Linked DNA regions of Tribolium castaneum. The protein of the gene in region 1 interacts with the protein of each later gene in a biochemical or structural test. Links are inferred from orthologs where the notes say so. Each region holds a gene or a part of one and is shown in the gene's direction. Other genes may lie near its edges.

What was found.
Region 2: the proteins of bai (region 1) and zetaCOP form a complex in vitro, tested with the Homo sapiens proteins (2 studies listed by BioGRID, with this or other methods). The link is inferred for Tribolium castaneum from reciprocal best matches to the Homo sapiens genes TMED10 and COPZ1.

The regions. Positions count from the first base shown.
Region 1 is NC_087396.1:9,937,775-9,941,311, reverse strand, and holds bai (transmembrane emp24 domain-containing protein bai), read left to right. Parts: upstream 1-1,488; 5' UTR 1,489-1,598; intron 1,599-1,657; 5' UTR 1,658-1,683; coding exon 1,684-1,860; intron 1,861-1,918; coding exon 1,919-2,039; intron 2,040-2,089; coding exon 2,090-2,160; intron 2,161-2,218; coding exon 2,219-2,345; intron 2,346-2,491; coding exon 2,492-2,613; 3' UTR 2,614-2,749; downstream 2,750-3,537. UniProt on the Homo sapiens protein: Cargo receptor involved in protein vesicular trafficking and quality control in the endoplasmic reticulum (ER) and Golgi.
Region 2 is NC_087396.1:16,251,394-16,255,060, forward strand, and holds zetaCOP (coatomer subunit zeta-1), read left to right. Parts: upstream 1-1,437; 5' UTR 1,438-1,583; coding exon 1,584-1,601; intron 1,602-1,649; coding exon 1,650-1,895; intron 1,896-1,946; coding exon 1,947-2,080; intron 2,081-2,610; coding exon 2,611-2,701; intron 2,702-2,786; exon of another isoform or gene 2,787-2,818; coding exon 2,819-2,866; 3' UTR 2,867-2,897; downstream 2,898-3,667. Other genes in the region: zinc transporter foi, read left to right, coding at 1-301, 354-574; Galphaf (guanine nucleotide-binding protein G(f) subunit alpha), read right to left, coding at 2,898-3,597, 3,643-3,667. UniProt on the Homo sapiens protein: The coatomer is a cytosolic protein complex that binds to dilysine motifs and reversibly associates with Golgi non-clathrin-coated vesicles, which further mediate biosynthetic protein transport from the ER, via the Golgi up to the trans Golgi network.

The DNA.
Region 1 (3,537 bases):
TTCTTTTTTTTAGTTCCTCTTTTATGATCGAGTTATACAGGATGTTCCGTTTAAACCCCACATTAAATATTGGGAGTTTTAATACTGATAATCATCTGAAAAGTTGTATACAGCGACAATACGTTAGGTGCTTATTAAAGAAAATATTTTCGAGATGGTGGCACTTCCGGTTATACCAGAAGTCGCTATCAACTCATATTTTAAATGGAAAGTTATGTATTTTTGGATTACTTAGTTTTAGGGTTTTTATCAGCTTTCCTTAGACCTAAATTTAGTAGTTTTCGAAATATTTAGGTTTTTTTTAAATTTTTGGATTTGCATCGTTGATTTCAATCAAAAAACGATAACCCTACTGTTTTTAAAAATTTTGAAATACTTTTTGGCTTATTTGAAAGAGAAGTTTTAGATCTTTTCTTTGGTGTTTTCAGATTTCTAAAAAAAATATTAAACCTCAAATTATTAAGATTAAGATTGCTGAACTTCAAACACCCATAACTCAAAATTTTCAAATGATATGCCACAATTTTTGTTTTGCCGACTTGTCCGATTCCTTTCAGCTTTTTCTTAGAATGGGAAGCAGGTTATACTTGGGCTTATCACTTACACTCAACTTATACAGTTTCAACATATCCCGAGAAAATCTTAGGTATTTCAAAGAATTTAATTCCAGAAAAATTGGAAATCAAGGTTATTTGACATTATTTGCTTCTTGCTGGACTTTCTCAATCTCTATCATCAGAAAACTTCATGACATCATGACAAGAAAATGTTTTTACCAAAAATAAATTAAAATTTAAACCTATTGTTTTTCAAAGTGAAAAACAGATTTTGTCGTATTCTAAACTTTTTGATCATTTATCCGTTTTTGAGCAAGGAACACATAAAAATTACTAACAAATAAACACTACTACAAGAAGAAAAAAAACACTGATGTTTAATACATTACTAAATTCAGTTTAAAAGATTAATAGGATAATTCTGTGTATGAATAATACGAATAATACAAGTATACAGAAACATCGTGTTTCACATCTTCCTGTCTTTAGTTGATCGAGGGTTATTTTGCCCTCTCTTCCTCTTACCCCGCACTTGACTGTTGGAGATTTTTGTTGGCAAATTTTGTCAAAGTAAAATAAATATTCACGTTTCGTTCAAAACTACTAAAAATTTTATTTGTTTCTTGGACGCACCCTGTTGGTATTCATCGCAGTGCATCTTTCCCGTACACGTTTTTTTAAAATATTATAAATATTTGTTTAAAATTTTAATAAAAAATTATTAAATAATTTTTTTTTCAAAAAAGTATTACGTTGTTTCAAATGCTAATAATTATTTAAAAGACTCAATTTCATTTTTTGATTTAAAATTGGATTACAAATATCGCTAAAAATAGAAAAATAAATATCATTACTACTTGTTTTTGTCGCACACTTGGTTTAACTCTGTCGTCCCCTTAAATAATAATTAGCTTTAAGGCAGTTAAATGATTTGAATGAGCTGCATTTGTAGATCTTGTGTTCGTTAGACAATCTCAACAGTAAGTATCATAAACATTCGCCTCCACGTGTTTGACGTATTCGCTGTCAGCCACCTCATCGGTATCTGCAAACAGCACTTGTTTTAATAATAAAAAATAGTAATTTATGTATTATTTAAGAAATCTGTTAAGAAGCAGACTTAAGGATGAACTTCAGGTTTAATTTGTGTTTACTTTGTATTTATTTCGTCAACGTGGAGTGTATTATGTGGACATTGAAACCCAACACACAAAAATGTTTAAAAGAAGAACTGCAAGGAAATGTACCAGTTATTGGGGAGTTTGAAGTCTCTGAAGCAATGGGTCAGAAAGTTGACTGTGTTGTAAGTTGAATTGTATCCCAATTTTAACAATTTTGAATTTCTGCTATTCTATTTTTAGGTTAGGGACTCGAAGGGACATATTTTATATCAAAGAGAGGACATTACCAAAGGCAAACTCACTTTCAACACGGAAAGTTACGACACATATGAGATTTGTTTCATTTCTCGCGTTTCTCAAAGTAAGTAAACAATTTTTGTGTTTAGAAAAGTTTGATGTGTTTTTTGCTAGATGTGAGAGGTATTGGACAAGATGTGTCTCTAGTAACAAAACACGGAGTTGAAACGAAAAATTATGAAGTGGTATGTCACGACAAGCGTTTTAAAATAATAATTTTAACTAATGAAACAAATTTTTTAGTTAGGTGAAGCTGCACAACTAAAACCTATAGAGAAGGAATTAAAACGATTAGAAGATTTGTCAAATGAAATTGTCCAAGACTTTGCTCTTATGAGGAAGAGGGAGGAAGAAATGAGAGATACTAATGGTGAGTAGTTCTTCAGTTTCTGACACAGTGGCCCGTGACTTTGAAATTAAATTGGCAACACTGACAGTGTAACATTTAACACTTTTTTGTCACGAGCCACTTTGATCAGAACTTTAACAGATTGTTACAACCGTTTTTTTTTGCAGAATCAACAAACAGTAGGGTATTGTACTTCTCAGTATTTTCAATGTGTTGTCTGTTGGGATTGGCCACTTGGCAAGTTCTCTACTTAAGGAGATACTTCAAAGCAAAAAAATTAATCGAATAGTTGCGCCAAACATCAATGCCACAGCTTATTTTGTTTTGTTGTACTATTTAAAGATAACTTTCTCAAGTTTGTACATTACTGGACTAATTTTTGTACCTAAATTATTCTCCTGAAATAGATACGATGTGTTTGGAAAGCGAGTTTTAATAACGAACATTTACCAAATTGACTCCCAATTTATAAAAAAAGCAAAAAAATACAGGGTGACTATGATAAATTGTGTGAAAAAAATGTATTGAGATCAATTGTGTAACCGTTCGGGGGTCTGGCCTTGTCAAAATATTTAGTTTTGAGGTGATCGTCTAGAGATTGTTTGGAGGACCGCTACGTTGTCGTGTAGATTTGGAGATTCGTTATTTCAAGCACTGTGTGTCTGGGAAAGGAAAACGCAAAGAGTTCGACCCAAAATGTTTATTCACTAAATTTACAGTCATTGGTGATAGTATGCAACACGTTATACAATTCAGAAGTGAGTATAGACAACAAGTTAAACACTATACCTAGGCAACCAGCTAATCGAGTGTTGAATCTCGGAGAACTGAGCGGGAAATTTGAATGCAAAGTTGATTACTCGGACCCAACCCGGTGATTCTAGAAAGACGGTTGCAAGAGGGACTCCCAGAGGTTCCGACCACCGCGTGCTCTCCATTCCCTAACCTTGGGTATACATCTCTCCCCAAGCCCCGGGGGAAAAGCTAGGCTCTCTTTTGAATTGGCATGTTTTGTAGTTGGGCCATTGCACTCACTGGGACTGCCGAGGTCTTTTTCCCTAGTGTGATGGCAAGTTCCAAAGGGAGACAGAAAGATAGTTACTACTCAAACATGCAGCCAAATTAAGCCTTCGTAATCAACAGTTTGTTTTAATTAAGCAAAAGAGCTCTCGTCAAATTCAACACGTACATATCACGTGCTCCTAACTAAACT
Region 2 (3,667 bases), about 6.3 Mb from region 1:
TCCCATCTCCATGGGCACGTCCATGCCGCCCCCCAGAACTTCTCGTCGGTTGCATGGATGGTGATTATGGGTGATGGTCTCCACAACTTCACTGATGGTATGGCGATAGGGGCTGCGTTTTCGGGGAGTGCCGCTGGGGGGTTTTCCACCGCCGTGGCTGTCTTCTGCCACGAGTTGCCCCATGAGGTGGGCGACTTCGCCATGCTGCTCAAGGCCGGCATGAGTATCAAACAGGCGCTGTTTTATAACATTATTTCAAGCATCTTGTGCGTGTTGGGGAATTTGCTGGGAGTTTATTTAGGTTAGTTTGGTGGTATATTGTTTTTTTTTTATTTCAATATTTGGAATTTTAGGGAATACGGAAGTTGCCAGTTCTTGGGTGTTCGCAGTGGCGGCTGGAACGTTTATTTATATTGCGCTGGTGGATATGATACCAGAGTTGAGCTCGGCACATGAAGATGAAGGGAATTTGATTCAGTGCATATTGCATTTGAGTGGGCTGTTATTAGGGTTTGGGATTATGACGCTGATTGCGTTGTTTGAACATGATCTTAAGAATATGTTTAGGGAATAATGACTTTATAATTCGTTTCTATTGGCTGTTTTTTATTTTATCTGGTTTTTGATACTGCGTGTTTACTGCAAAGACTTGTTTTTTTTACAATCATCCCCCTTCTTCCTTGTGCTGCTACTTAGGTATTAGTATTGATTAAGACTTACCTATATTATGTAAACCCACATGTAATGACCAGTATTGGTACGCAAAACAATAAAATTTATTTAAATATGAACAGGATTTTATTTCTTCCAACAAAATTATAAACGTAGAAAAGAAAACAGTTACTACATTATTAGTTAAACTTAAACTTTAGATAATTATTGATTACCTTACAAAACTAATTATACTTTTATTTTTTCAGTTTTTTCATGACCGCTTTACAAGTCGCCGCAGGTAGGCCTGGTAATTAAACAAATTAGTCTCAAATTGTAAACACGGAATGTTTTCCATACCTACGACCTTAGACAATTTCCTCGGGGGCATGTTTGGGTCCTTTTCGAGGACAGCTCTAATTTGTTGTACTTTTTCGGGGGTTAGAAAAATTTCCAAGTTGGGTAATTCCGGTTCTCTAATACTACCAGTTGCTCGAAGCCGATCAACCAATTGGGGCACGTATTCTCGTAACATGTCATCGCTAAAAGTGGCCCCAGGAAACTCATTTCTAAATTCCTGAATACACTTTTCTGCAACGGACTCATTATACAGCCATCCTTCATTTTCCTGCCACTGGGTGTTACGGCTGTATGACTCAAACAGGAAAATGTTTTGCTGCGTTGTGGGACATATTGTTTGGTCCATTTTGTCGTATTTTAAAATCAAAATGATCAAAATAACAATTTTCAAATTTTCACTTGACAAATGACAGACAAATACCAACATCACAAACCAAATTCCCATCTTCTGTCAATTGTCAAATTTTAGACACGTACAAAAATCAAAATAAGCCTGATTTTGCCAGTATTTTGCAATTTAATGAAATAAGCTACAATTTGTTACGTTAATTAATTGCCACAAGTCGAGAAAAATGGAAGGAACACTGTTGGTATGTGCGAGTTTTATTTGTGGGGGCCCACAGTACCCGTTTTTACAGGAGCCTACGTTGTACATGGTTAAAGGAATTGCAATCCTCGACAATGACGGCAACCGTATTTTGGCTAAATATTACGATAAAAACGTTTTTCCCACGGCTAAGGAACAGAGAGCCTTTGAGAAAAATCTCTTCAATAAGACACACAGAGCTAACGCTGAAATAATCATGTTAGATGGTCTAACTTGTGTTTATCGCAGCAATGTTGATTTATTTTTTTATGTTATGGGTAGTTCGCACGAAAATGAAGTAAGTTTTTCAGTACTTTATTTATTTTTTGTTAATTATAAATCGTTTCAGTTAATTCTAATGAGCGTTTTAAACTGTCTCTATGACTCTGTTAGTCAGATTTTGCGCAAAAACGTCGAAAAGAGGGCCGTTTTGGACTCACTTGATATAGTCATGTTGGCTATGGATGAAATTTGTGATGGGGGGTGAGTTACACATATTGGATTAATGAAGAAGTTTCCCTTCACTGGCTGTTCCTGGGAACGTACCCCAATGTGGCTCCATCTGTTTTATTGTTGCATTTTTGTTTTACTAATTCATTTTGCTCTGACAACAAATAACCGTAATCCAGAGGGTGATTCTATTAAGGCATACATTAGAAACTTCTTAACTTCCAGTATAGCTAGAGTTTATACAATACACATCGACCATTCCAAATTCAGCTAAAAGTTTAATCGTACCAGAAATTAAGCCTTAAACAAATGTATGTCTGTAAATTAATATTGCCTGTTGTGTTTTATGATGTAGTTTTTTTTCTAATTATTAATAAAAGATGTTTTGTTTCCACAAATTATTTCAAAAACTTAGCTTAATGTACTAATTAACAACTATGTAGTATATGCAAAAATGCACAAAATATAGGGTGTACCTGCTGTAGGTGAGGGGATACTTTCTTCATTATGTAATTTTTTTTAACCTTTACAATGTAAGTTATTTACATATTTTTGTATTTCAGTATTATTATTGACGCTGATTCAAATTCAGTTGTGTCGCGAGTGGCTCTCAGGAACGACGATATTCCCTTGGGAGAGCAAACTGTAGCTCAGGTAACTAATGCAGTCCATTCAATTTTTTGGTGAAGCTTTTGTCATGTTATGCTAAGTGTATGAGGAAAAATTAATTATAAATATGTAATATGTAATAACAAATACGTTTATTTATAGGTAATACAGTCGGCCAAAGAGCAACTCAAGTGGTCTTTGCTTAAGTAAAGTATTTGTGTAAACTTGTAATAAATTTGTATTAGTAACTAGCAATGTTTTTTACACTTTCCTTAATTATCATTTCGTGGACACTATCAAACACTTTTTTAACATTCTGAGTGTCTGTAGCGATAGTGTGGTGGATATAAATATCCCTAGGGGGCAGCTTCTCCTCAGTTACTGTTTTTGTAATTGGATTATAATTTTTCACTGTTACTTGTATTTTCGACATTTGTGTTATCTTCTCCTCGAGGAAGGCTTTCGCATTATCCACCGCAGAACCCAGAGTTTTATTAAAATTTTTGTACTCGGGGAAGTACTTTTCCAATTTTCTCCCGTGCTCTATTTTCCTCTGGAAGAGGTCCTGTTTGTTGAGAAAAACAATCATTCCAGCCTTTCGTAAAAACCGGCTTCCACACATGTCTCTGAAAACGGACAAAGCTTCCTCAAGCCGATTTTTCGATTCATCTTCTCGTAGTGTTTGATCGAAGTCACTCGCTGCGATTATGAATAAAATTGCGTCAATTCCGTCGAAAACTTGTATCCATTTGCGGCGTTCCCCTCGCTGGCCCCCTACATCGTACATGAGGAAATTGGCGCTTCCGCCCCCGTATGTTTTAGGGACTGGGACGCTGAACTCAATCTCCGAAATGGAAGTGGTGCGAATTCGGCAAAACAGAATGTCTTGAGTTGAGGGGATGTAGTCCGGCTTCCTAATTTCGTCAATACGGTCTAAGAAACTGTTATTTATTTAAGAAACCGTTTCTTTTCACCTAAACACTTACTGTTGGGCGCTGTCTATTAACTGGT